7 linked regions of the Canis lupus familiaris genome follow. The protein of the gene in region 5 interacts with the protein of the main gene of each other region in a pairwise test. Links are inferred from orthologs where the notes say so. Each region holds a gene or a part of one and is shown on either strand. Other genes may lie near its edges.

Region 1 (3,500 bases), on a different chromosome or scaffold from region 5:
ACCGCTGAGCCTCCCCAGGCATCCCCAGTTTCATTCTTTTGTAAAAATTAAAATTCTATTTGTCCACAGGTCAAATCATTCCCCCTGGACATGACTGCATCTTTCATTTATTTTCTAATTATCAGTGCTCTTCTAATGTTATTCTGGAATCTTTGTGGTTTATTGTTCTATTTAATGGGCAACTGCATTCTGAAAGACTAAAATCAGGTTGCAAATCAACTCATGAAAGGCAATTTTACCAATTCTTTGATCTTCATTAGCTGGAGTTATTGAATCCAAGGCTGGAATGCACCGAAGCAGGGCACAACCTCCTCCCAGAACAATGCCTTCTTCAACAGCAGCTCTTGTGGCATTGAGGGCATCTGTAACTCGGTCTTTCTTTTCATTCACTTCAACATCACTTGTCCCACCAACCTAATGATTAAAAGAATTCCAGTTAGTATGGGTTTTGCCCATTCAAGATGCTGACTGGCAAGAGTCACTGAAAAGCACGGAGTTCACTTAAAAACATGTAAAAAAAAGGTCGCCTATTTGTTAAAAGTGACTGCATGATTAAAGAGCTAATAGGGTCAGTGCAGTGTCTCACATCAGTCCAACACACTATCATTAACAAAACACCTTTTTCCTTAGCAATACCAAGTTCACTTCTGGCTTTAAGGGGAGTATTCCAAAAAAATTTTATATAATATATATCTCCATGACAAAGTTATTTCCCAAAACCTTTTGGTTACACGGCACTATTGGAGAGTACCACAGAAACAAAATCATTCTTGGGTTCAGAACCCAAGAAACTCATTTACAACAATGAATCTTACCTTCAACACAGCTACTCCATCTGAGAGTTTTGCCAGACGCTCATTCAGCTTTTCCTTTTCGTATTCACTAGTTGTGATATCTAACTGCTCAATGATTTCTTGAATACGTTTTTCAATTTGAGCCTTGTCACCTTTTCCTTTTAAAAGCATGGCATCATCTTTGGTCACAATGACCTCTCCAACTTTTCCTAAGTCATGAGGCTGAACATCTTCGAGATTTAGAGTCAACCCTTCTTCCCCAAACACCTACAAAAATATTTAAAAATGAACCCGTTGCAGCTTGGTTTTTCATTATACCAAGTTTATCAGTAATACATCAGGTGGGTTTTTTGAGGAGATAAACATCTTAGAATACTGTATTTCTTTGAAATGTGAAATTTCAAGACAACGTCTAGTCCAGAGAAGACTTGATCAGGTTTTTCACTGCATTTCCCACTTCTCACTTAATCCTCAATCAGAATTAATTAGCTTTATTTCAGAAAAGTATAAACTCAATTCCCCTGAGGTCACACTTTTGGTGGAACCAGGACTAGACCTTAGACCTAAACAATTAAGTCCTATGTCTTTTCTATTGTATTGAACACAGATTAGTCAAATAATCCTATTCTTGGGCTAGACTCATAGCAAGTTAGAGAAGGGACCTGGGCACATTTAATCAAACCTTTACCTCGAAAACATCCAACAGAAACAAAAATGAATAGTTAATAATAAATGATTGTGAAAAACCTAAAATCTACCTATAAATTTTAGGCCTGGAAGTATATAACATTCAGTAAACCAACATCACATATATTTTACTTACTGCACCACCAGTAGCAATAGCCATATCTTTAAGCTGGTTCTTTCTATTGTCACCAAAACCTGGAGCTTTGACTGCCACAACCTGAAGACCGACTTTTAGCCTGTTAAGAACAATAAGAATGAGATTTAAAGTTAATTAAAGTTCTTAGTACTAAGATTACTTAGGAAACCACACTTTTTTTAAAAAAGGTTTTATTTATTTGAAAGAGTGATGGGACGCCTGGGTGGCTCGGTGGCTCATGGTGTGATCCCGGGGTCCTGGGATTGAGTCCCACATCAGGCTCCTTGCAAGGAGCCTGCTTCCCCTCTCTGCCTATGTCTCTGCCTCTCTCTCTCATGAATAAATAAATCAAATCTCTTTAAAAAAAGAAAGCGAGCACATGAATGGGGGTGGGGGGGTGAGGCACCCAACATGGGGCTCAATCCCAGGACCCCCGAGGACCATGATCTGAGCTGAAAGCAGACATATAACTGACTAAGCCACCCAGGCACCCCTGGAAACCACACTTTACAATTTTTTGCTTCCTACCAACTTTTAGTCAAATTAAGACATGAAAGAGCAACTTTCCATTCATCCATATTTGCCATTACCTTTGTCAAAAATTGTTGACCTTACGGTTAAACTGAACCCAGGAAATAAATGCTAACATAAACAAAAAACTTTTAAGTTAACTACAGTGATAACTATACCCTATTTGTTCTATTTAGTAATGGATCAAGTTACTACTGAAGTTTGAGCAGTGTTCTTAATTCAGTTCCTTTACATATATAAGTGTTGCTGATAAATAGCATTAAGTTCACCTGCGATTTTATCATGTAATGAATATCTGGAATATATAATCAAAGGAATGTCCACTTGAGACCACACTGTGTGAAAAAGGAGTATTTAAACTGTTAAAGACAGAGTTGGTCTATTTTATTAAAGGGCCAAATAAAAATCAGAGGGACAGATAAACATAGTATGCCAAATCAATCAGCCATCCAAAGCTACAGACACCAGTAGATGGCTCAATGAAACTCTGGAGGTCTATTTTTTTTTTAATTTATTTTGACTTAAAATCCCACAATCTCATAAAGCTTTTCATAACCCAAAAAGCAAATCCAAGCTAACAAACATTCAAGGATAAGTCAACTCATTCGGAGCTTTTGTGTCAAGGTATGCACTCTCCCATATAACTATTTCATTTGTCCATTTCCATTACAATTGGAAAATTATTACTTCTAGAGCAGCCCAGGGGGCTCAGCGGTTTAGTGCTGCCTTCAGCCCAGGGCGTGATCCTGGAGTCCCGAGATCAAGTCCCACATCGGGCTCCCTGCATGGAGCCTGCTTCTCCCTCTGCCTGTGTCTCTCCTGAATAAATATAATCTTCAAAAAAAATTATTACTTCTAATATACCTCAATTCTAGGAATAGGAAGAATATGTATTTTAAAAACGTTCTAATATTCTTTCTTAAAATTTAATCTCCACACCCATGTGGGACTCGAACTCACAATCAAATCAAGATCAAGAGTCACATGCTCTTCTGACGGAGACAGCCATGCACCACAGTAAGGCCCTAACACTTTTATAGCAGGAGCTACTAGTCGTAAAGTAAAAAATCATATATTATAGTTTAAAAAATTAAGCGAAGAGACTTTATCTTAGATTGAATGTCAAATTCTCTATTTCAGACCATTAATTAAAATGTCCTTTGATGGGATGTCTGGGTGGCTCAGCAGCTGAGCGCCTACCTTCAGCCCAGGGCTGATCCTGTGGTCCCAGGATCGAGTCCCACATCGGGCTCCCTGCATGGAGCCTACTTCTCCCTCTCTCTGTGCCTCATGAATAAATAAATAAACTCTTAAAAAAAAAAAAAAAAGTTTTGGGATCCCTGGGTGGCGCA
Region 2 (3,688 bases), on a different chromosome or scaffold from region 5:
GGAATGTCTACCATATTGTTAAAAACAGAAGACACCATGTGTTTTCACTTTCTGTGATATTTCTGTTTTTCGCAACCAGAATGTGAGATCTTTACAGGCACAAACACATGAAGGTTTGGAAAAGTAGAAAATCTAATACGTTCACAAAATGGTATATGATGTGTGTAATAGTATCTACTGTAATTGTGTTGAGCTATTTTTACAGATACGAAAAGATGGGCAAACTATGTTTTTTGAACAAGATTAAATAACCCTAAAAAAAAAAAAAGATTAAATAACCCTATAGATAGATCAATGACGCTATATTTGGGTTTGGTTTCTTTGTGTGTGTGAATATGGACACCGTAAGGGTCTATATATCAAAATATCACTGATGGAGCTTTATTTGTACTTTTCTACACTTAAGAATTTTTTGACATTTCTATGATTTTTTTTCATTTCTATGATTTAAAAAAAAAATATATATATATATATCACTTTTGTAGTAAGGAAAAAAGTCATTTTCATTTTAAAAATATCTATACTCTTTATTAAGCCTCTTTACATTCAGTGACCCAGATTTTTCCACAACCCCCGAAGCTGATAGGTCTGGAAATACCCGACCATTTTACAGATGAAGGCAATGGGCTTCAGAAATGTAACCCCCAGGGCCTGATTCGGGGAGGTCTTCTCCCACCGTGGAGCTACTCTCAGATCAAAACAATGTGGTGAATCAGGCGCCAGCTTTGGTCAAAACCCCTGTCATTGTAACCATCTTGCTCTCCCCAGCTACTAACTGGGACAGGGGGACAAGAGAACTCCTCAAAGTCGGAGCCCTGAGCATAATTCATGCTGCACCACCTCCCCCTGGTGGTGGCTCTAGAAACTGGAGCTGTCCGGACAGTGAGGAGCTACAGCAGTTAGGGAACAGGGACACTCTGGGAGGTACGACGCTTTGACTTGCGGTTTTTCGACTCTTACGATGGGATGGTGCAAAACGCCACACGTGTCCACCAGAAACCGTCCTACACATTTTGAATGTGGCTCTCTCCCTGGGCTGGCAACTTGCGGCATGCTTGTGATGCTGGGCGGCGGCAGCATGCCACAGCTCAGTCAGCCCAGAGATCACAGGGGCAAACAACCTACAGCCATTCTGTGCCCGTACAGCTATTCTGTTTTTCAACCAATTACAGAAGATATTCAACATTTCATTGTAAGTTTGTGGTAGATGATTTTTGCCCAACTGTAGGCTAGTGTGAGTGCTTGGGCACCGGTTTGGTAGGTTAGGTGTATTAAGAGCATTTCTGACTTCCGATATTTTCAACTTATGATGGGATTATCAGGAGGTAACCCATCGAGAAAGATCTGTACTGTCTTCCATCAATATCACCTTTACTTCTTTAAATCAAGAAGAATCCTGTTCCATCAAGGAATCAGGTACTGACCCAAATACACGGAACAGGGCCAGGTGTCAACCAAGCTCAGAGCTTTGGATGATGCCGAGGGCGAGGCCACACTCCCTCCCCTCTCCCTCCCCACTGCTTCTGTGGCAGCGGCTCCTGCCCCAGTGTTCTGCACTGCTTTCCCCCATTCTCTCTGCCTCCTTCCATTCCCAAGCTTATGAAAGGCCAAGCGGTGGCCCATGTGCCCTCAGCCATGATGTCGCAGGGAGAGGTCCCAACATCAGAAGCCTGTCCTCAGGCTCTAGGCACTGATTTTTCTTTTCTTTTTTTAAGGCTTTATTTATTTATTCATGAGAGACACAGAGAAAGAGGCAGAGATACAGGCAGAGGGAGAAGCAGGCTCCCTACAGGGAGCCCGATGTGGGACTGGAACCCGGGTCTCCAGGATCACGCCCTGGGCTGAAGGTGCTGCTAAACCGCTGAGCCATTCGGGCTGCCCTAGGCACTGATTTTTCAAGTATGTCAGGTCACCACACTAGAAAGCACCAATGTCAGTCTTCAGCTGCGTCCCCCTTGTCTGCTGATAAACACACAGCTTTCTTACTCTTCCAGGAAAAAGGAAACATTCAACAGGGTATCTGGAATAGGAGGAGAGAAAAACTGTAGCATATCACCCTCTCCAGAGAATGCAAAACATCAGATTTATAAGAAACACAGACGCACTGCAAGGGCATCTCTGTAATGCTTCCAAAGAAGTGAGAGACACACACACACACACACACACACACACACACACAGAGCAGACATGAAGTAATAAATGAAAACCAGCACCTTGTACAAGGCTTTGGTGCTCATCTTCTGAAATTTGGTCCCAGGCCTTGGGCAAAGCTTGGATGTTTGCCAAGTCTCCCCACTGGATCGAGGACAGAAGGTACTTTCTCTTCAGGTAACTTCCTGGAAGTTAAGGACTACCCAAAAAGCAAATGAAATATGTTGAAGGGGAAGGGATCCCTGGGTGGCTCAGCGGTTTGGCACCTGCCTTTGGCCCAGGGCATGATCCTGGAGTCCTGGGATCGAGTCCCACATCAGGCTCCCGGCGTGGAGCCTGCTTCTCCCCCTGCCTGTGTCTCTGCCTCCCTCTCTCTCTCTCTCTCTCTCATAAATAAATAAATAAATCTTTAAAAAAAGAAAGAAGGAAGGAAGGAAGGAAGGAAGGAAGGAAGGAAGGAAGGAAGGAAGGAGAAAGAAAGAAAGAAAGAAAGAAAGAAAGAAAGAAAGAAAGAAAGAAAAGAAAAGAAAAGAAAAGAAAAGAAAAGAAAAGAAAAGAAAAGAAAAGAAAAGAAAAGAAAAGAAAAGAAAAGAAAAGAAAAGAAAAGAAAAGAAAAGAAAAGAAAAGAAAAGAAAGATGTTGAAGGGGAAAAATGCCCAGGGGAGAGCGACCGGGAGCCAGAAGAGTGAAAGGGTGGCCTATCTTTCCATTTACCAGGTGGCAGGACTCACCAACGCTACCGATCTTTACCGAGCACCTCCTCACTCACAGAGCTACAAGGCCAGAGGGATGAAATGTTACCCCAACAACCTAGGATCTCACCATAAAAAAAAAAAAAAAGCAAGCCAGGAACTGAAAAGATACAATCTCAGTGACGTTAAAGGGGAAACTGTATAGCAGTTCCGAGGATGAAAACCTCCCTTGGCTGGGGGGGATGGCGGGGCGGGTGGCAGCAGAAGGATTCCAGCTGGCAGGAAAGGCGTAAGCAAAGGCACAGAAGTGGAGAAGCACGGACTGGTTTCAGGGCCTAGTAAATCCTCCCATCTGGCCAGCAAGGAACATTAGCAGGGAAGGTGGCTGAGAAGGCAGGTCGAGCCAGAACATAAAGAGCACTGAAGACCACCATGGGGATTCCGGTCCGTGAGCAATGGAAGCTGCTCAAAACTCCAATGTTGGCAACGGGCAGAACAAAGACATCTTCAGAAGGAAGTGAGGTCACAGCGGCTGGAGCCAGCTTAGAGGGAAAGAAGCCAGAGGTGGAGAAACCTATCAAGAGGCTGCATAGACCAGGGGCCACACGAGAGGCAAGAAACTACGGAAGAGGCAGTGCAGATACAGAAGGAAGATACGAGGGCCCAGGGAACAGAATCAAAGCACCTGCCAAGGGGTCGTGTGGACTTTCTCAGAACAGTACCTGGCACGTCATCAGTGCTCAGTACTGCTGGCTGAGGCTCCATCAAAAACACAGGCTGATTGTTACCTTCTTCTCAAAACCTTTGAATAGCTTCCCGTCGAAGCCAAGATCCTTTCAAAGACC
Region 3 (3,500 bases), on a different chromosome or scaffold from region 5:
GCATCCGCTCACCTGCAGATGGTGGGACGTGATGACAGGCCTCTTTCCCGGACACCAGACATCCTCCTTCACCTGCCTCAGGGCCTGAAGACACTTCCTGCGGCAACCCCCGTCCTCGTCCAGCTGCTCCAGCAGCACCTGCTCGGCCTGCAGGAAGCTCAGCTGCCAGTGATAATTGGAACAGGCCAACAGGGCAAACCCAAACGACTGGGGGAAGAGAAGAACATGGGGAACATTGAGAAGGATGACGCTTGCCAGAGTAGAGCCGTCTCAGAAGCCATGCGCTGCTCTGCGGCAGGAGGGGAGCCTGCTACCAGGCAGGCAGTACCTCCCGCGTGGGGATGTGGAAGGAGGCTCGGGGCAAACCCCTTTCCTGGCACACAGTGAACTGGAAAGACTGTGCCCACTTTCTCTCGGGCACTGGTTCTCCAAGTTGAGCCTGGAGAGCTTGTTAAAACAGATTGCTGGGCCCTGCCCACCAGCTCTCCCTCGGGGGATCCAGAGCAGGGCCTGGGACTCTGCATCTCTGACAGGCTCTCAGGGGTCACTGCAGATTCTGAGGACCACACCTGGAGAACCACTGATCTGGTGAAACCTCATTTTTCCTTCCAAAGCTGGTTGACAGTGACGCTGTGAGCTGGGCCCCGGCCCACTGATACCTTGATGCACTCCACTCTCTGTCGGGAAGGCCAGCGCTTCAGACAGGGAGGCCACCGAGCTTTCTCAGACCAGGCCGTGGGGATCTCCACTGCGGGGACCAGCTCTAGTTCCACCTGACACGTGGGCGTTTCCACGGCAACCCAAACTGCAGCTGCAGCGTGGTGTGGGAGCATGCTGACCTTACCTGGTGGGAAGCGACAAAGAGGTGATGAGAAGAGGAAGCCTGGCTCAGCGCCCACGTCCTAAGGACGGTCCTAAGGAGGAATCCGGGAGCCACAGGTGTGAGCAGCTCCTTGCAGGTGATGGGGCAACTTTCACAGGCCGGAAACACCCCAAAGGTGGGGGGTTTATGGCAAAACTAGACAATTAGCTGAGTAAATATTGGTAGAAATGTTGCTAGAAAACCTCATTGTTGGTGCCGGTTGCTTTTCCCTTTCTCTCCCACCCCCGAGGCTTTTATGGCACCTTTTCTTTTAAAGTAATAGATTCTTTTCAGAAGGCTCAATGGAAGAGGCAGAGAAGACAAAGAAAAGATGGAGTATTTGCTAGTAAAAATGAAATCCAGCCATTCTTCTGTGCCCCCTCCATTCTGCTCAGATGTCCTGACCTTGTCAGCCTCCGTCCCCTGACTTCATTCACCGGCCTCTAGTGGAGCTCGGCTTAACCCGTCCCTCCCCTGCCGCCCAGGCTCTCTGATGGCATTGTTTCCACTATCCATTAAGCTAGCCTAGCCTCAGGTGTATTTGTCATCCCAAGCCCTTGCAATTATAGAATTCTTCAAAGTGTGTCATAGCCACTGGCTGAAAGGCTCGAATGAGTGGAAAGAAGCCCCGCTGCCTCTTCCAACCTGGCAAAGAGAGGGAGAGAAGATAAATGCATCTGGGAGCATCTTCCAGTTCCTGTACTAGAATTCGTTGCTAATCTGTTCCCCCTTCTTTCAAAAGATACGCAGTAGTTTTGTTTGTTTGCCTTCATTACAGATAAAAAGGATGAGCTGTCTTGAATCAGGATCTGTTCTTTTTCTCTTGTTTGCTCAGAGAAGAAAATGGAAGCTTGCTCATTAATCACGTTAAGCTATTCAAAAGGAAAACATTCCTCTCCTTGGCTGGGGTGCGATGAAGAGCTTACTGTCTGCAGCTCATCAGAGCTGCCCAGACAGGAACATGACGACGTCTGGCACCCTGGCATTGTTTACTGAAAGCATCTCATCAACCTGGCCCGTTTGCAAGCCCTCATTTGCACTTTCACTATTACCAGTGTTTCGAAGTGAAGAGGTCAGCACATGCTGGAACCAGCCTGCCCCCCACACCCTGCTTCTGCCCTGGCTCAGCTCACTCGATGCATGACCTCAACCTCGGTCATGCATGATAGCTCCTCTCTCTCAACCTCAGTGTTCTCATCCGTAAAACAGGTAGAAAAATAACTCTGACTCTCCAGGGTTGCTATGCGCATGACATTTTCCACGAAAGCATCCTTAATGTGGTAAAAAACGCATTAAACATGGGCTAATTCCATTATGGGACCTTTCAGAACAGCTCAGTCCAGACAAGTAAAAGTACATTTTCAAATCCTTTTCTTTCTACACACGTGGGATTGCCTCTTGGTCGGTGCTCTGGTTTTTCCCTTCATTATCCAGCGCAGGGATTTTTTTACAACTCTGTGTAGAGGTAGAGGTAGTACAATTTATTTTGTCAACTTCCCTTTGTTTTTGATATTATGTCTACTTACTTTCTTTCACACAGCCCCTATGGCAGTGGACACCATTATGCATATTTCTTTCTAATCTGTAGGAATATATTTCTAGACCTGGAATTGGTGAATTGTCAACTGAAGCACTTTATAAAAATAAAAACAGACTGACTGCCCTTTAAAAAGTAGGCACCAATTTATACTTCCAAAAACAATGCTTGAAAAGGCCTTTTGTACCACACTCACCCCTACACTGAGCATGATCACATTTTTTCATCTCTGTCAATCTATTAGTTGTTTTAATGCACATTGCTTGAAATATATGTTAGATGGAATTTTTTTCCCCACTTTTTTACTACTACGTGTTTATATTCTTTTTCTGTGAGTCATTTTTCTGGTCATTATTTCTATTGGCTGGCTCCTACTCTTACTGGTTTACAACTACTCTTTTATAATTAAGAAAATTTGCAACTTTTTACCCAGCATGAAATACACATTTTTATTCTGTGTGAACAAAATGTGTGTGTGCCCGCCTGTGCACATATGCCACATGTTGGTATACGGTTTAAGATTTTGGGATTATCAAACTTATCGGTTCTTTATGGCTTCTCAATTTTGTGTTTTGGCACAAATCAGTGGTTTCCAAATGCGGCATCTCAATACACCAGGGTACTGCAGTCAGTTGGAGGGTGTTGTAGGAATGTGCTAATACCAAAGATATGTAGTTTGTGAATAATTTGCTTTTTAAAACATGTAGCCAAGTTTTTAAATTAACATCTGGGAACTGGTGCATAACCGAAAGCCCATCATTTCTCTGCTGGGGCAATAATCCACGGAAATCCAAGTGGATGTTATATGGATCCTATTCTTCAGTGTCAAAGCAGAAAAAAGAGCTAACTCATATTGTGAGGAGTGAACAGATGTAAGGAGCACATGGGGATTATCTTAATTTAGGGGCATGAGCTTCGGGGTGACACCTATGCAGAGGTTTTTTAAAGCAAAAGGGGAATGCCAGAAATTGTCCTTGTACTTTTCTTGATCAGCTCACCTGAGAGATGACAGGTTCCAATTGCATTTTCTACCAGCTTCCGGAACACCTGGAGGACCTTGGCAGGCACGATATCCCCCTCTATGTTCACATCTGCCTTGTG
Region 4 (4,067 bases), on a different chromosome or scaffold from region 5:
GCTCCATGCACCGGGAGCCCGATGTGGGATCCGATCCCGGGTCTCCAGGATCGCGCCCTGCGCCACCAGGGATCCCCTATATATATGTATATAGTTAATCCCCTATATATATATATTAACTATATATATATATATATGGTAAACCGTCATCCTAACACTTTACATATATTGACCCATTAAATCCTCACAATTCTTTAACAGGTGCTCTTGTTACCCCCCATTTCTCAGATAAGGAAAATGAGGCACATAAAAATTAGGTTGCTTGACCAAGTAAGTAGAATCAGAATTTAAACCCAGGGAGCTGGGACACCTGGGTGGCTCAGCGGTTGAGCGCCTGCCTTTGGCCCAGGGTGTGATCCTGGAGACCTTGGATGAGTTCCACATCGGGCTCCCTGCAGGGAGCCTGCTTCTCCCTCTGCCTCTCTCTCTCTCTCTGTGTCTCTCATGAATAAATAAATAAAAATCTTAAAAAAACACACACACAAAAAAAACAGGGAGCTCACATTTACTACTACTCGATTCCATTGCCATATCAACCTACACTGGGGATCAGGGAGAGAATCTTTGAGTCTGTTCCGGAGCCTCTGGCATGGAGGGACTAGGAAGGGCAGAACACACTGAAAGATGGGCATGGGTTAAGGCTTCCTCTCACCGGTTCTCTGGATTCCTCGTCTCTCCGTGGCTCTCTCGGACCATGCGCGCCACCTCAGGAAAACCCGCTTCTTCAGCCAGCTGAGCAGCATCCTTGCCACCCAGCTCACAGACACCCACCCAGGCAGCTCCACGGCCCAGGAGATAGCGCACAGCAGCCCCCTGGCCTGCTCGAGCAGCACACATCAGGGGGGTCCACCAGAAGGCATCCCGAGCATTGATATTGCCCCCCGCTCCCCCTGCCTCGTGGGGATCCAAGAGCCTTCTTAGTTCTGCTAGGTCACCCTCCTGGGCTGCCCTCAGTATCCAATGGGTCATCTTGTCCTCTGCCTCAAGGGATCTCCTTTGTCCATGTCCTGCTGAGGCTCCTACAGCAGCTTCCCCCATCATTCTTCTCTTCTTCCTCTTTCTTTTCCTGTCAGGTTCAGGCTGAGATCTCTGGGATGCAGGGATGCTGCTCTCTTCTGCAATCAGGGCCTCATAGAAAGCCCGGGCTGCAGCCCCATTCAGGGTGGGCTCCAGCTCTTCAGGCTGTGACTGCTGCTGCCCATCTTTCCAGAGGTCACTGGGGTTGGTGGCCGGGGTGAAGGTGATGAGGGAGGGCCTGGACATGGCTTTTGGGAGAACTGAGACAATGAGACTAATTAAAGGGCGTATGAGACAAGCAAGCCAATCCCTTGGTGGCTCTGCACTGACCAGAACCACCTCCACAGATCTGCTGGGATGAGGAAAAGTAGCCTTTTCCAAGTCAAAAACCCGTCTTATACTCTAAGTGACCCCACAACCTAGGACCCTACAGGGCCTAAGGACCATAGGTCATGTGGAAAAACAGGGAGCCATACAATAACAGCCCATATCCCTCGTAAAGGTTAACTTAACAAAGATTTAATGAGAATTGCCCAGAGGCCCATCCCTATCCTCACCAATAAGTAAAAACAGCTTCTCTCTCAAACTACTTGATCACCAGGTAAGACGTGCAGTTAAGAAAACAATCAGCCTAGCCCTTTAAATCTTCCTTGATCCTATGTCAGGGTAGGGTCTTTCCAAACAAAAACAGACTTTTAACCTTCTCCGGATGCAAGAAGAAGATTTGGGGGAGAAACTCCAGTCTCTGTGGAGACCCCACAGGGTCTCTGTACCACAAAAATTTTATCTAAGCAAAGGTGCTGCCAGTCCAATAGCCACACGACCCAGACACACATGTGTGACTGAAAAAAAAATCAACCACCACAAAGCAGAACTTGAGGGTGCGGGCGTGTGCGAAGCGCCAGGCTGAGCCTTCGCACGGTGGGACCCTCCAGGATGCCACGTGCCCAGGCAGCGCGAGGACAGAGGCTCTGTCGGTTGGGGTCCTACTTCTACATAACGCCCCACAATGCCCTTCGCCTCCCGGAACGTGGCCCCCCACTCCGAGCGCAGTTTTTGGACCTGCGAAACCACCGAGTTAAGGAGGGCTCTGAGAAGGCGGGAGGAAACCTGTGGAATGCCCCGAAGCCGTGAAGTGAAATAACGTCACGCCACCCCTCACCATTATTCTGAGCAGGGTTCGAAGGTCACACTTAGTGCCCGCAGCAGAAGGCCCCATTCAAGCTCTGAGAGGAGATGGAAAAGTGCAAGGGGACGAGCAGCAGAATGGCTGGCGCCACTTCAGGTTAGCGCACAGGCCGTCCCAATTCTCACACCGCTCACCTCAGCCCAGCCCACTCTTCCCACGTCCCGCAAGCAAGGAGCCCGGCCTCACCTCCCGCCTGAGGAGACTAGACCCCGGGGTGAAGCACCGGCCCGGGTGGGGCCTCCAGTGGCGGGCCTGACTCTGGCGAGAGGCTCCGCAGGCAACAAGGACCCGGTGGGGTAGTCGGGGACGAGGTCAGCACCCTGGGCTGCCGGCAAACACCTGGGGCAGAGCCTCGCTGTGTGAGGGGAGTTGCAGGAATCCAGCCCTCCAGCCCCGTTCCTTCCCCGCCCCCTCCCGGCCCCTCAGTTGCGCGACCCTACGACTCTATTTCCCATACTCCCTGGCCCAGAACGGGGTACTGCGCTTCCGCTTCCGGTGGTATCCCGCTGCTCCCCACCCCCGAGCGTCTTGTTCCTGGGCCTCGCGACGCCAGGGTCGTTCGTGGGTCATCCTGGGATTCGTAGTTCGCCTGTTCTTCGCTTCGCCAGTTTCTCTTTACCTGGGACTCCATTTCCCGGCGTTCACTGCGGCGCCCGACCCTTGGCGCTTGCGCGTTGCCCTCTCCCCACCCTCCCCAATTTCCACACACACCGCCCCCCGCCCCCCCCCCCTCGCTACTTCGCCTGCCGCGGTCGGGTCCGCGGCCTGCGCTGTAGCCGTCGCGGTTCTTTGGAAGCAGCAACTCCCCTCCCCCACCCCGGTCCCGGTCCCGGTCCCCGCCCAGCCGGTGAGTCTGAGGTCGTTGCCGCATCGAGTCTTCCGTCCTTAGGCGCGGCACATGGGGTCTCCGCGCGTTGGTGTGGGGGTGGGGAAGGAAGTGACCCGGTCCGGCACCGGGGGAGGGAGGGTTGGCCTGAGAGGCGGGGTGTGGGGACTCCTGTGAGAGGGACCCAGGGCCACCTCCAGGTCGTGAGGGGAAAGGGTCCTGGCTTTTGCTTGGAAAGGATAAACTTCGGAACCCTTGGGAAAGGTGTCGGGGACATGCGGAGACCTGCGGGGTAGGGATCTCGAGCCGAGAGCCCTGCGAGGGAGGGACTTGACGTAAAGAGGAGAGGGTGCTGGTTTTCGGGATTGTTAGGGGTGTGGGTAGGACGGGTGAGCCTAGACCTGTCGGTTTTTCAGAAGTGGTGGGACTCCAAAGAGCCTCTAGTGAATAAGAGGAATTGGAGGCAGGTGCGCCAGGGTCTAGGATCCTTTAAGAAAAGGGGGCTCCAAATTCTTCCATGGTCGGGGAGCAGAGTGTGGGGAGGAGGGAAGGTACCAGAGACAGGGTGGGGGAGCTTGGCCTTTGTTTACCCTCTTTTTTTTTTTTTTCCCAGCTGACGTGAAGATGAGCAGCTCAGAGGAGGTGTCTTGGATATCCTGGTTCTGTGGGCTCCGTGGCAATGAATTCTTTTGTGAAGTGAGTTCTCAATCTCCCAGCTATGTCCGCACAAAGTTTGGCTGTATGTTTTTCCACATATTTAGCTTCTACTTCTCTTACAGGCTGTCATAGAAACTTTTTCCTGTCAAGGAAGAGTCCCTTCAGTAACTCCCCTCACTAATTTGTGAAGTGGCAAGACTTGCCCATCCCAAGCCTGTTACTGTCCAGCGGTGTAATATTGGAAAAGTCAACTTTATTACTACTACTACTACTACTGTTATTCTTATTATTATTGCTAGGCTTGTACTAGTAGTGCTTAATTTGGGAGCCTATTAGGATTAAAATGCCGTTTATCAAAATGTTTTGTAACAGGCAAAG
Region 5 (4,131 bases):
GCAGTAATCATTCCCAGCCGCTGGCTGGTCTATGCCTCATCCAGGGTCTGTAACATTGAATGTCAGCCATGCCTTCCAGATGTACACCACCAGGTCATTCCTACCTCTAAGGATTCTGGTCTACTGGAAGGCCTGGTGTGTTCTCAGAAAATCCTTTAGCTATTTCCATTAGGGGACTTTTGTGAGGTCTCTGTGAATTGGGGATAGAAGGATAGATACGCACTTGCCTGTCTTGCTCCACCCTCCTAGCAGACATCCCCCCCCCACACACACACACACAAAGCACAAATCCGAATGATGGGAGAGGGGAAATTGACACTCCCCCAACCCCACCCCGTACACACACATTCCATTGCACACCTGTCTTAAACTCACATCAAGATTAGCCAAAAGTATGTCTAGAAGTCCCTGGAGCCTAGAAAGCAGTAGGGGATCCCTGGGTCCGGAATAAGGTCCCTGGTAGCCACTGTCCCTGTACCCAACCAGAGTGGATTGAGGCAAATTACCCGGGCTCTTTTTCCAATCGGATATTAATCACCCTGAGAGTTTAGGAAGGGCCTGGCCCAGCTGGGTCCAGCTGGATCTTCAGCCGTGTCTTCAGATTTAGTGTCGTTTTTTCAGCTTTCCAGTCGCTTCTTTACTGCAGGTGAGTTGGAGAAGAGATTAAATTCACTGGACTCCTCCTGTGCAGATACTCTTGCTGCAAGTAAGGCTCAGATACCTGTAGATGACAGTCTGTGCCTTCCCACAGGCTGCCTCGGGTGCCACAGATGGAGCCCTAGGTGCCTTCCTGCAATACAGGGCAACTTCCTGTTTGTGCCTGTGGGTGGAACTTTATGAGTGTAAGGGAAGCCTGGCCATGCTCTGTGGGGGGCCAGAACTGGCAAGTATGCTCACCTGGGTAGGCACCTACTGCGGGGAGGGGGGAAGGGGCTGGCTCTGCTAGGGCAATTCCGACCAGAGGGTGGGGCGGGGTCTGTTTTAGTGAAACCCGAGCCTTCTTTGTCTGCTTCCTAGGGGTTTTCCTTGTTCCTGGGGAATGAGCTGAGAGCCGACCCGGTTTGGCTCCTTACAGGGTAGGGCAGGTGGCAGTAAAGTCCTATCGTCAACTTGGTTAGGCCGGCCAGGTAGTTTAGCTCCCGGTCACGTGCTGTTCGCCCCTTTCCCCAAGTCGAAAACCAAATCCAGAAAGCTGTGAAGTCGGAGGCCAGAGGGGCAACCTGGCCACCACCGAGCTACTGCTGGGCTGGGTACCGGGTCCGCCGTAGAGGGGGTGCTGGGCAGACCACTCCCCTCCCTGGGTCGGGGGCGCGGCCTCAGCCGCCCCGCCCCGCCCCGTTCCACCAGGCCGGGCCCGGCGGGCGCCGGGAGTCCGGAGCCCGGAGCTGGCTGGGAGCCGGCAGATCTGCGGCGGAGAGGTGCCGGCGCTCGGGCAGGAGCTGGGCGGGAGCGGCAGCGGCAGCGGCAGCGGCGGCGCAGGTGGCCTGGGTGAGTGGTGGGGCCGCGGAGGTGTGGGCACTCCGGCCTCCCGCACATGCCGGGTCGGGAGCGAACTTTCCCGGTCTGGGGAAGCTAGGGGGTGGAGTGAGGAGAGGGTCCCACACTGGGGTCCGGGGGGCCCGCAGGCGAGGAGCCTGAACAGGGAACCGACACGGAAACTCACGCCAGTGGGTGCACACGCGCGCGCGCCGAGACCCACGCACATAGGACACACGTGCACTCAGGAGAGGACGCGCCCAGTGGGTTACCCTTGCAGTCCCTGGAGCGGCGCCACTGGCCCGCACGGAGCCCCAGCTGACAGGGTGCTCTGCTGTCCCGTACTTGGCAGGGGTGGGAGAAGGGGCTGCCCGGTGACCGCCGACGGGGGCGGGCCGGGTGGGACACCTCCGGAGGTTCCTGCTTCCTGGCCGCCCACAGGTGAAGACTAAGACGTAAACAGGCGCCGAGCACGTGATCGCTTCGCAGACGAGTGGGCTGTGCTTCCCTCGCCCCCGCATCAGGGCGAGGACCTCCCTCCCCAACCCTGGGCGAGTCTCCGAGGTCTCCTGTCGGGCCGTATTCCATTCTCCGCCTCAAGAAATGTTAAGCCTTCCCCCTGAAATGGGAGCACAACGCCCCCTGGAGTCCGGGTAGCGCAGGCCTGGAGACTCTTGGGCTCGGTGGGGTTACCTGGGCTCCTTGCCTTCCTTCACCCGAACGAACACGTTCGTGGGGCCCTCATCCCGGAAGGTATCGGAGGAGGGCGCTATTTCGGGTGGCAGTATACGGCAGCTCCGGCCCCATACCTCCAGTCTGGGGAGCAGCTGCCTGAGAGCCGGTGGGTCCCTTTCCTACCACCACCCCTCCTTGCAGAACTGGGAGCTCCTCCCTTCAACTGTAGGAGCCGAAAACCCACTCGTGCGAGAGTGGGAGTCCTCCTTTCCCAGAGAATGCATAAAGGTAAATGTCCTCGAAGTACGGGAGTGGGCCTATCCCCCTCCCCTAGAAGGGAGGATGAGCCCCCTCCCCCAGGGAATGAGGGAGTGGGCAGCGGCCCTCGCCTCCCTCTCTGCCCCACCCTCCACCCCTACACACACGCTGAGCCCAGCTGCTGCCTGAGCTTCCGGGCTGGCTGCCAGAAAGGGGAGGAGGCTCCTGGTGCCCCAAGAGGCTGGGATCAGGGCAAGGCCAGAGGAGGGGGTCTCTACTGGGGAGGGGGGCTCAGTCTATTCTTATGTGGCTCAGGGTCTGGGGTGAGCCTGAGGGTGGTTGGGCTATGCCTCCCTTTCCAGGGAAAAAGAAAGAAAAACAACCCTTTCCATAGAGCTAAAAATAGAGCTGAGAGCTGGCCAGGGCTGTGGCCTGGAAGGGGGGGATGCTCCTTCCTGGGGCAGAGGAGCTCTGGCAGGCCTTGGCCTTGGGGGTGGGGATGCAAGTAGGGGGTGGGAGGCCTGTCCTTGGCTGGGGGTGTGGGCATCAGCTGACCTGACCAGAGACCCCTCAGGGGGGAAAAAAGTCTTTGTGGTAAAAAATGCTCGTGAAACACCATGGGTATGTGTAAGTTGTCTGACTGAATGAGACCACCAATGTGTTAAAGATGTTTAGGAGAGGAAGCCCATTTAAGATTGTGACTCGGTAGGAAGGACTCTGAGTCCTTGTGAAAGATTGTGCACAAGGTGTGTGACACCCAGTGTGTCTGTGTGTAAGTTGGCCTGAAAGATTATGGAAGGAAGGAACCTGGAATCACGTGATGGAGGAGACTGTGATTGTGGCTGCGTGGGACCGAATGTGGGAAAAGTCGTGTGGGTGTTAGGAAGATTGTGTTGTTTGCGAGAGGGTGAGACTCTCTGTGACCCTGAGAAGACCGAGGGATGTTGTCAGCTGTGGGACTGGTGTAGGTTCTGACTGTAGGTTTGGACCGCCTCACCCCAGTGATTGTCAGGGGGCCAGGGGCTGCCTCTCTCCCAGCAGTGACCTCTCTTAGCAAATGATTCTCAGGGAAGGTTGGGGAGCAGACGGCCGCGCGCGAGGCAGGCCTGGGCTCGCGGGGGGCAGGCTACAGTGCTGGGCAGTCCGGTAGGGGCCCCCAAAGTTGCTGGGGTGGCGGTGTATCCTGCGAACGCGCCGCCTGGTGGCGCCGCCTCCGCAAATCCGAATCTGCCTCCCTCCACCGCTGGGGGTGGGGCAGGCACGGCCCGAGCCCGGGTCCGCGACCCGGCCCTGGGGAGCAGGGGCCCGGCGGCCGGGGCGGGTGGGGGGGCCGGCCCTCCGCGCCCCGCTCGGGACTCCGAAGCCGGAGTGTGTCTTGCGGGGGAGGCTTCGACCGGAGGAGCGGAGGGGGAAGGGCGGCCGCCGTGGCGCCGGGCCCTTTGTGCTGGAACAATGACCAGCTGCCGCTGGCCCCGGGGCCCGGGTAGGGGTGGAGGGTGACCCGCCGCCGCCGCCGAGTCCCCGAGCCCACCGGGCGTGGGGGGTCCCGAGGCCCGCGGCGCGGCCCCGCGTGACGCGGGGTGCTGCGCGTGTCCGCGCCGGGGCGGGGACGCCCCTCGGACCCCTCCCCCGCGCTGCGCCGCCCACTCGGGCCGGACGGGGGCCGGTCGGGCCGGGGGCGCCGCGGAGGCGGGGCCGGGCCGGGCCGGGCCGGGCGCCTCC
Region 6 (4,014 bases), on a different chromosome or scaffold from region 5:
AGGAATAACCAGGACAAAAGCCCTAAGTTAGTATGTTTAAGGAAAAATAAAGCCTGTATGGATGAAGAGAGTAAGGGGAAAGTAGTAGAGGAGGTCAGATTGGCAACAGGGGCAGATCATGGAGGTCTTTTAAGTCATCCAATTATTGTGAGTGGACTGTAAGGGTGACTGTATGCTAATTAGGAAGCTACTAAAAATAATCCAGGTGAGAGATTATGGTGGTTCAAATAGGACTGTGTTCCAAGGTGATGAGATGTGGTCTGACTCTGATTTATTTATTTATTTATTTATTTATTTATTTATTTATTTATTTATTTATTCATTCATTCATTCATTCATTCATTCATGAGAGAGAGAGAGAGAGAGAGAGAGAGAGAGAGAGACACAGGCAGAGAGAGAAGCAGGCTCCATGCAGGGAGCCTGACGTGGGACTCGATCCCGGGTCTCCAGGATCAGGCCCTGGGCTGAAAGCGGTGCTAAATCACTGAGCCACCCGGGCTGCCCGACTCTGATCTATTTTGAAGATACGAGTCAACAAGATTTCCTAACATATCAAATGTGGAATAAGAAAGAAATCCAAGGCTTGCCTTGATCAAATGGAAGGATAGCATCCTATTAACTGAGCTGATAGTGGGAGGAGCAGGTTTGGCGAGAAGATCAGGATTTCTGTTTTGGACACATTAAATTTGAGATCTCTTGGGACGCCTGGGTGGCTCAGCGGTTGAGCGTTTGCCTTCAGCTCAGGGAGGGATCCCAGAGTTCTGGGATCAAGTCCGGCATCGGGCTCCCTGTGAGGAGCCGGCTTCTCCCTCTGCCTATGTCTCTGCCTTCTCTCTGTGTCTTTTATGAAAAAATAAATAAAATCTTAAAAAAAATAAATTTAAGACGTCTATTAGATTTCAAATTGGGGATGTCAAAAAGGCAGCTAAAATAGAAGAATCTGATTTTCATGGAAGAGATCAGGGCAAGAATACAAGGGTGGGAACAGTTACCAAATAGATGGTACTTAAACCGTGAAATGGATGACAGCACCAGAGAAGAGATATGAAAAGAAGAGGTCCAAGAACCAAACTTGTGGCATATCAATGATAAAAGGCTGGGGACAAAAGAGCCAGCAAAAGATGCTGAGAGGTGAAGAAGTACTAAAACAGGAATGGGATGGCTCAGAAGCCAAGTAAAGATACCGAACCCAGGAGGCCAGTGTTTAATTGTGTCAAACACTGCTCTCAGGACAAATGAAAGATGTGACCTGAGAAATGTATTAAGTGACCCGGAGGTCAACACTTACACCCTAAAAAATTAAAAAAAAAAAAGACCATCTTTTTATTAGTCTCTCTCCCTCTTTATAGCACCTAAACAATATCGTTCATTCTGCTTAGAGCTCTCTCTCCACTAGTTTTCAGCACCAAAGTCATGTAACCTAGGAACCCTGACCCCCAAAACTAATGCTCTTGTTTTAAGATGAAACTATACTTAAAAAAAAAAAAAAAGATTTTCATTTATTTATTTACAAGAAACACACAGAGAGAGGCAGAGGCATAGGCAGAGGGAGAAGCAGGCTCCCCGCTGGGATCCCGACGCGGGACTCCATCCCAGGACCCCGCGATCCTGCCCAGAGCCCAAGGCAGATGCTCAACCACTGAGACACCCAGGTGTCCCAAAACTATACTTTCATCATGAAATGTATTATTCGAATCGTCAATTTAATTGTCTCTCAGGTTAGACTGTAAGATCTTGAAGTCAGGGTCATGGCTATCTTGCTTCCTTTTTTACTCAAAACCATCTAAACTCCTACCTAGCACAGTGCAAAGTACGGACTAGACAACCTACAAGAATGTACAGAACAGATGGATAAACGTTAGGAGTGCTCAATAGTGTGACCAATTAACTTCTTGTTGGTCTAACTTAGAGACTGCCTAGACGCAAGCATCTAAAGCAACAAGTGGGCATAGAGAGCTCTGACCACCCTGAATCTATTCCAGGGCTGGGTCTCCCATTTCATCACCTTTGCAAGGGTGTGATGCGGACTCCTTATTCAATTTCACTTTTTTTATTCCAAAGGATTCCCCTGGCAGAACCTTTTGGCCGTCTATCTACTTCCCCCTCCCTCCAAAACTAACCACCCTCTTCCTGGCACCCCCCTCCCCCACTTACCCAGACGCGTGGTGCGCTCGCGCGGGGCTGCGGCCTTGTTCCCAGTCCCATGCTCGGTCTCGAGTTCCTCCTGTTGCTGCCGCGCTTGCTGCAAAATCCGTCGGGTCAGCCGGGGCCCCACATACTCTTCGTCCTCCTCTCTGGTCCCACGACCCCGCCGCTTCTCCCGGGGCCCTGCCCGCGCCGCGTCCCCAGCCAGGATTTGCTCAGCCAGCGGCGCATGTTTTTCCTGGCCTGCAGCTCCGCGAGCCGGCTTGAATTTGGGCATTTTTTTCCAGAACTCTGCCAGAAAGGTTTACACGTGGGGTACAGACGAGGAAAAAAAAAAAAAAAAGCCTTGAGCGCACTTGCGCCGTGAAGTCCCAGCTCCCAAGAGGCCCCCGCGGAGCTCACAGCGCCTCCCGGCGTCCGGAGGCCGGGAAGGCCATCAGCGCCGCCACACCCCGTAAGAGCGGGGCCTGGAGCCAGCCGGTCCCCGAATGAACTCACTGCTTCTAACGCTGGCTTCTGCAAGTGGTGGCAGTCCGAGCGGTGGTTTTCTACTTTCATAGATCGAGGACCTCTGTTCCCAGCCAAACGTGGACTTGCCTAGCTGCAAAGCCGGGGCCAGAGTTGGGTAGTGACGTCACTGGAGGCGTCACCGAGGAGATGCCTAGACCTGCCCCTGTTCCTCGTGGGCGCGTCGACTGGACGCTCTCCTTTTGCGTCATTTCCGGAGCACCTCCCTCGGCCGAAGCTTTCGTTAGGGGTCTTCACTTAGTGTGGGCGGCCAGAGACTACTGTGATCCGATTGTTTGTTCCTGCCATCCTCCTGGCCCGATACCATGGGAGTGACTTGGTAGGCCCGCAGGGGACTTTTTTGGGCGGCGCTCGGGGTCGGGAAGGGCCCCGGAGCCCGGAGTGTACCGGGAGGAGGGCCGGGACCAGGGACCGCGGTCCCCCATGAGCTGATGAAGATAAGATATCTTCGGAACGTGTGGGTGATGGAGACGCTGCGAGGGCTGCAGATTCTCCGCGCTTGTTTGCTCGGAGACACTTCCCTTCGTCCTGAAAGGCGGCAGGTGAAAGGTTTTGTCCCAGGAGCCCATCAGTGGTTGTGTTCCTCCTTCCCAGGAGGCCATAGGGCTGCCCGAGGTGGAAATTAAGGATGCCCGAACTAGGACCCAATCTACAGGCGTAGCTAGAGGAGGTAAAGGATAGGCAACGAGGAAACCGTCTTTTTTTAAAGATTTTCTCCTGCCCCTCCCTACAGCCACTTAATGCAGTTAGACCGGCCCGTGTCTGGTTCTGGTGCGGCCGTCTTAAGATTTTCGGTCTAGAGGGAAAAAAAAAAAAAAAATAAGCAGCAGCAGCTGTTGGGAGGTAGATTGGGGTTTAGGCACGTCACCTCTTCAGAATTCGTTTCCTACTATGTTTAATTGTATGGTTGGTGTAACTAATTACTATGGACTTTTAATCTCTCAACATGATATAAGTGGGGTGGCAGAGAAAGGTATGGGCCTAATGCTCTTGGAGAAAATGCTAGATTTTAGGGATTGTTTTGTTTTGAGTACCGGTAAGTATTAGCACGTTTCTAGTTAGGGCTGGAGCCTGTGGGAACCACTCTTTTTTTAAAAAAAAATTTTAATTTATTTATGATAGTCACACACACACACAGAGAGAGAGAGAGAGAGAGAGGCAGAGAGAGGCAGAGAGACATAGGCAGAGGGAGAAGCAGGCTCCATGCGGGGAGCCCGACGTGGGATTCGATCCTGGGTCTCCAGGATTGCACCCTGGGCCAAAGGCAGGCGCTAAACTGCTGCACCACCCAGGGATCCCTGGAGCTAGTCTTTCTGATAGCTCAGGTTCTTGTAGGCTTGT
Region 7 (3,500 bases), on a different chromosome or scaffold from region 5:
AATGGAGCCTGCTTCTCCCTCTGCCTGTGTCTCTGCCTCTCTCTGTCTCTGTCTCTCATGAGTAAATAAATAAAATCTTAAAAAAAAAAAGAAAGAAAGAAAGAAATCTGGCATCATAGAAGATGGGCCTAAACCCTAGGCTAAGATACACCTAAAACTCTGTTTTGGCCAACTAGATGTAAGGTGAAGTCTACTAGTAGGTTTTGCAGAAAGATTTTTCTATCCCGATAAAAAGGTTAAGTACAGAAGAGGGGCCATCTAGTACTGCCCCAAATATGGGTGTTGATGTATGAAGACACAGTGCTTAGAGCTATAGCAGCCACTTTGCAATTATGAGGGGGAAGAGCCAGAGAATCAGACACATCAACCTAGAGCCCTGACACCATGGACCTGCCAACCTCCAGACTCACGTGAGATAATTAAATGTCCTCAAGGTTCAAGTACCTGTCAGACAGACTATTACTTGCAGCTGAAAGTAATCCTCACTGATCCAGTGGGGGGCAGAATGCAGAAATGAATGACGTGATCCTTGCACTCAAGCGCCTTAGTGTTTAGTGGGGAAGATGGGCAAGTAAACAAGAGGCACTCAGGAATGATTAAGCATTCAGGAATCCCATCCTGGAGGTGGCAAGCACAGCTGGAGTCACCAGATTGCACATCTGCATTTCCAAACAGTCAGCCGTAGGACACCTGCCCACATACAGATAGCCCCAGCAAGCTGGGTGAAGCAGGGAGGGGCAGGACAGCAGGCTCACCTGCTGGGACAGAGTGCCTCGGCAGTCCTGTAGCACGTCTAACATCTGGAAGATGTCAAATGCACGAACTACCTGGATCCTCTGGAGAGCTCCTGCCTAAAGAGGTAGGAAAGAGAAGGAGGGGCTTTGGGTAAGAGGGAGCAGGGGCTCAAGTAAGATAAAGAGGGATTTTATTTTTTTTGAAGATTTTATTTATTTATTTGACAGAGAGTAAGCGAGAGACAGAAAGAAAGAGATTGAGAAAGAGAACGAGCTGGGAGAGGGGCAGAGGAAAAGGGAGAAAGACTTTCTGCTGAGCAGGGAGCCCAACTCAGCGCTTGACCCCAGGACCCTGAGATCATGATCTGAGCCCAAGGCAAATGCTTAGCCAACTGAGCCACCCAAGTGCCCCCAAAGAGGGATTTTAAAGCTGAGCAAAATGAGACACCTAGATGTAAGGACTCCAGTACAAGATGGTAAATGGGTCTGTCTACTGGGCCAGTTGTTACAGTGGAGGCTGTCTGGGGGCTGAGCTGCAAAGCCAAGTCAGAGCTCTGTCTGATTAGGAATGTCTGCTATGGGCAAGAAAAATGGGAAGGAAACACAGATGCTGGGTGTTTGCCAGCTATGAATTAGGGTGTGCATGGAGCTAGGTCACCTTGGAAGATCAGTGTGGGTAGCATCCAAGCTGGGCTAATGTTATAACAGGGGACACTTAAAGAATTCAGGAAGTACTAAGAACAATAGGTTTCAAACTCAGAAGTGACTATCCAAACAGCTAAAATTCTTGCACTCTAAGGAATAATGGCATCTTTCTACATCAGAACCTCAAGGGAACTCAACCCTCCTGCCCCTTACCTGCACCTCCTCATCTGGGGTTCTGGCCTGAAGTAGCTGGAGGATGCGGGAGGCTGTCAATCCTCCATTGGAATCAATGTATACAACATTCTGCTGCAGGCCATAGGCCACATTTGCAGCCACACAAAGACATACCTGAAGGGACAAGGCATTGGGAGATAGTGAGCCCCCAAAGAGGGCCCAGAATGGGAGCTCCCCACCAAATCCTGTCCAGGACCCAGCAACTCGAATGGGCGAAGTTCATGCCCAACTCCTCACCACTTATCTTCTCTCTGAATCACAAGTACATTAGAAGAAGCCGCCCCCCACCACACACACACACACAGATCTGGTGCTACCCACCACCTCCTCCCTCTTCTCCCCTCCCCTTCCCTACCCCATGGCCACCTGCTGCTGGCCGCAAATGTACCTGGGTCTTGCCACTACCTGGGCCTCCTACAATTTCAGTCACTTCTCCAGTGTAGAGACCAGCATCAAGCAGTTTGTCCAGGCTGATGAAAGAAGAGGAAGAAAGAGAATCAACCCAGTGGACTGGTGGGGACAGAGGGGAGTAGGAACCAAGAAAAGTAAGACATTCCTTCCCAGCACTAGTTCTGAACATATCTAGGGAAAGAGGGCATGGCTCCAAGGTCCATCCATTCACTCTTGGCCTAAAGATCACTTTCCACAGAGGTCTCTGCCAACCCATCAAAGGGTCCTCTTTCTATTGCCTATCTTAATCCCCTACAGGTTTCCTTGATAGCATTTCCCATAATTCGTCACTTTTTCAACTTTATTTATTTTATTTATTTATTCATGAGACACACACACACACACACAGAGACCCCCAATGCCTTGTCTTAAAAAGAAAATTTAAAGGGGTCTGTGGGTGGCTCAATCAGTTAAGCATCTGACTCTTGATTTTGGCTCAGCTCATGATCTCAGGCTTGTGAGATCAAGCCTGGCATAGGGCTCTGTGCTGGGTATAGAGCCTCCTTAAGATTCTCCCTTCCTCTGCCCCTCTCCCCCTTCTCTAAACAAAAACAAAAAACACAACTGTTGGGTTGTATGGCAAGCACATGTTAATTTTATAAGAAATTACTAAACTATAAGAAACTACTAAACTGGGCAGCCAGGGTGGCTCAGCGGTTTAGCGCTGCCTTCAGCTCAGGGTGTGATTCTGGAGACCCAGGATCGAGTTCCGCACCAGGCTCCCTGCGTGGAGCCTGCTTCTCCCTCTGCCTGTGTTTCTGCCTTGCTCTCTCTCTCTCTCTGTGTGTGTCGCACATGAATAAATAAATAAAATCTTAAAAAAAAAGTAAAAAAAAAAAAGAATCCTTATAAAAAAAAGAATTCTTTATATATTTTAGATGCAAGTCCTTTGTTGAATATGTGGTTTGCAAATATTTTCCCCACTCTGTGGGGAAACCACTCTGTGCTTGTCTTTTTGTCCTCTTTTCAGAGCAAAAATTTTAAATCTGGATTCATTTTTAATCTTATAGTTTTATTAACAATTATTTTTTAATTGATCATGATTTTGTTTTGTTTTGTTTTGTTTAAAAGATTGTATTTATTTATTCATGAGAGACACACAGAGAGAGGCAGAGACACAGGCAGATGGAGAAGCAGGTTCCCTGTGGGAAGCCTGATATGGAACTTGATTCCAGGACCACAGGATCCCTACTGGAGCCCAATGTGGGGCTCGATCACCAGACCCATGATCCAGGATCACACCCTGAGCTGAAAGCATATGCTTAGCTGCTGAGCCACCCAAGCACCCCAATTGATCATGCTTTTGGTGTCAAGTCTAAGAACTCTCTGCCTAGCTCTAGTTCTCAGATTTTCCCCTCTGTTTTGTTCTAAAAGCTTGACAGTTTTAGGGTACTTGCCTGGCTCAGATGGAGGAGCATGTAACTCGATCTCAGGGTT

Evidence for each region.
Region 1: the proteins of LZTS2 (region 5) and HSPD1 interact in binary tests that used the Homo sapiens proteins (3 or more experiments, as listed by UniProt). The two-hybrid records come from large-scale screens. The link is inferred for Canis lupus familiaris from reciprocal best matches to the Homo sapiens genes LZTS2 and HSPD1.
Region 2: the proteins of LZTS2 (region 5) and C15H1orf109 interact in binary tests that used the Homo sapiens proteins (3 or more experiments, as listed by UniProt). The two-hybrid records come from large-scale screens. The link is inferred for Canis lupus familiaris from reciprocal best matches to the Homo sapiens genes LZTS2 and AIRIM.
Region 3: the proteins of LZTS2 (region 5) and MAB21L3 interact in binary tests that used the Homo sapiens proteins (3 or more experiments, as listed by UniProt). The two-hybrid records come from large-scale screens. The link is inferred for Canis lupus familiaris from reciprocal best matches to the Homo sapiens genes LZTS2 and MAB21L3.
Region 4: the proteins of LZTS2 (region 5) and GPANK1 interact in binary tests that used the Homo sapiens proteins (3 or more experiments, as listed by UniProt). The two-hybrid records come from large-scale screens. The link is inferred for Canis lupus familiaris from reciprocal best matches to the Homo sapiens genes LZTS2 and GPANK1.
Region 6: the proteins of LZTS2 (region 5) and BYSL interact in binary tests that used the Homo sapiens proteins (3 or more experiments, as listed by UniProt). The two-hybrid records come from large-scale screens. The link is inferred for Canis lupus familiaris from reciprocal best matches to the Homo sapiens genes LZTS2 and BYSL.
Region 7: the proteins of LZTS2 (region 5) and RAD51D interact in binary tests that used the Homo sapiens proteins (3 or more experiments, as listed by UniProt). The two-hybrid records come from large-scale screens. The link is inferred for Canis lupus familiaris from reciprocal best matches to the Homo sapiens genes LZTS2 and RAD51D.

Annotation. Positions count from the first base shown.
Region 1 is NC_049258.1:6,890,901-6,894,400, forward strand, and holds part of HSPD1 (60 kDa heat shock protein, mitochondrial), read right to left. Parts: intron 1,718-3,500; coding exon 1,618-1,717; intron 1,062-1,617; coding exon 816-1,061; intron 415-815; coding exon 240-414; intron 1-239. UniProt on the Homo sapiens protein: Chaperonin implicated in mitochondrial protein import and macromolecular assembly. Together with Hsp10, facilitates the correct folding of imported proteins.
Region 2 is NC_049236.1:4,889,818-4,893,505, reverse strand, and holds the end of C15H1orf109 (uncharacterized protein C1orf109 homolog), read right to left. Parts: intron 2,333-3,688; coding exon 2,214-2,332; intron 2,021-2,213; coding exon 1,983-2,020; 3' UTR 501-1,982; downstream 1-500. UniProt on the Homo sapiens protein: Part of the 55LCC heterohexameric ATPase complex which is chromatin-associated and promotes replisome proteostasis to maintain replication fork progression and genome stability.
Region 3 is NC_049238.1:54,124,369-54,127,868, reverse strand, and holds part of MAB21L3 (protein mab-21-like 3), read right to left. Parts: coding exon 3,398-3,500; intron 845-3,397; coding exon 660-844; intron 208-659; coding exon 13-207; intron 1-12.
Region 4 is NC_049233.1:1,285,955-1,290,021, forward strand, and holds the start of GPANK1 (G patch domain and ankyrin repeat-containing protein 1), read right to left. Parts: upstream 2,801-4,067; 5' UTR 2,393-2,800; intron 2,382-2,392; exon of another isoform or gene 2,303-2,381; coding exon of another isoform or gene 2,254-2,302; exon of another isoform or gene 1,575-2,253; intron 1,278-1,574; 5' UTR 1,264-1,277; coding exon 653-1,263; intron 1-652. Other genes in the region: CSNK2B (casein kinase II subunit beta), read left to right, coding at 2,254-2,302, 3,646-3,728.
Region 5 is NC_049249.1:13,868,791-13,872,921, forward strand, and holds the start of LZTS2 (leucine zipper putative tumor suppressor 2), read left to right. Parts: upstream 1-1,331; 5' UTR 1,332-1,488; intron 1,489-1,917; exon of another isoform or gene 1,918-2,439; intron 2,440-3,535; coding exon of another isoform or gene 3,536-4,131. Other genes in the region: proline-rich protein HaeIII subfamily 1-like, read right to left, coding at 3,536-4,131. UniProt on the Homo sapiens protein: Negative regulator of katanin-mediated microtubule severing and release from the centrosome. Required for central spindle formation and the completion of cytokinesis.
Region 6 is NC_049233.1:10,768,295-10,772,308, reverse strand, and holds the start of BYSL (bystin), read right to left. Parts: upstream 2,801-4,014; 5' UTR 2,644-2,800; exon of another isoform or gene 2,437-2,643; 5' UTR 2,423-2,436; coding exon 2,155-2,422; intron 1-2,154. Other genes in the region: MED20 (mediator of RNA polymerase II transcription subunit 20), read left to right, coding at 2,979-2,992. UniProt on the Homo sapiens protein: Required for processing of 20S pre-rRNA precursor and biogenesis of 40S ribosomal subunits. May be required for trophinin-dependent regulation of cell adhesion during implantation of human embryos.
Region 7 is NC_049230.1:38,217,477-38,220,976, reverse strand, and holds part of RAD51D (DNA repair protein RAD51 homolog 4), read right to left. Parts: intron 2,084-3,500; coding exon 2,002-2,083; intron 1,728-2,001; coding exon 1,593-1,727; intron 852-1,592; coding exon 756-851; intron 34-755; exon of another isoform or gene 1-33. UniProt on the Homo sapiens protein: Involved in the homologous recombination repair (HRR) pathway of double-stranded DNA breaks arising during DNA replication or induced by DNA-damaging agents. Bind to single-stranded DNA (ssDNA) and has DNA-dependent ATPase activity.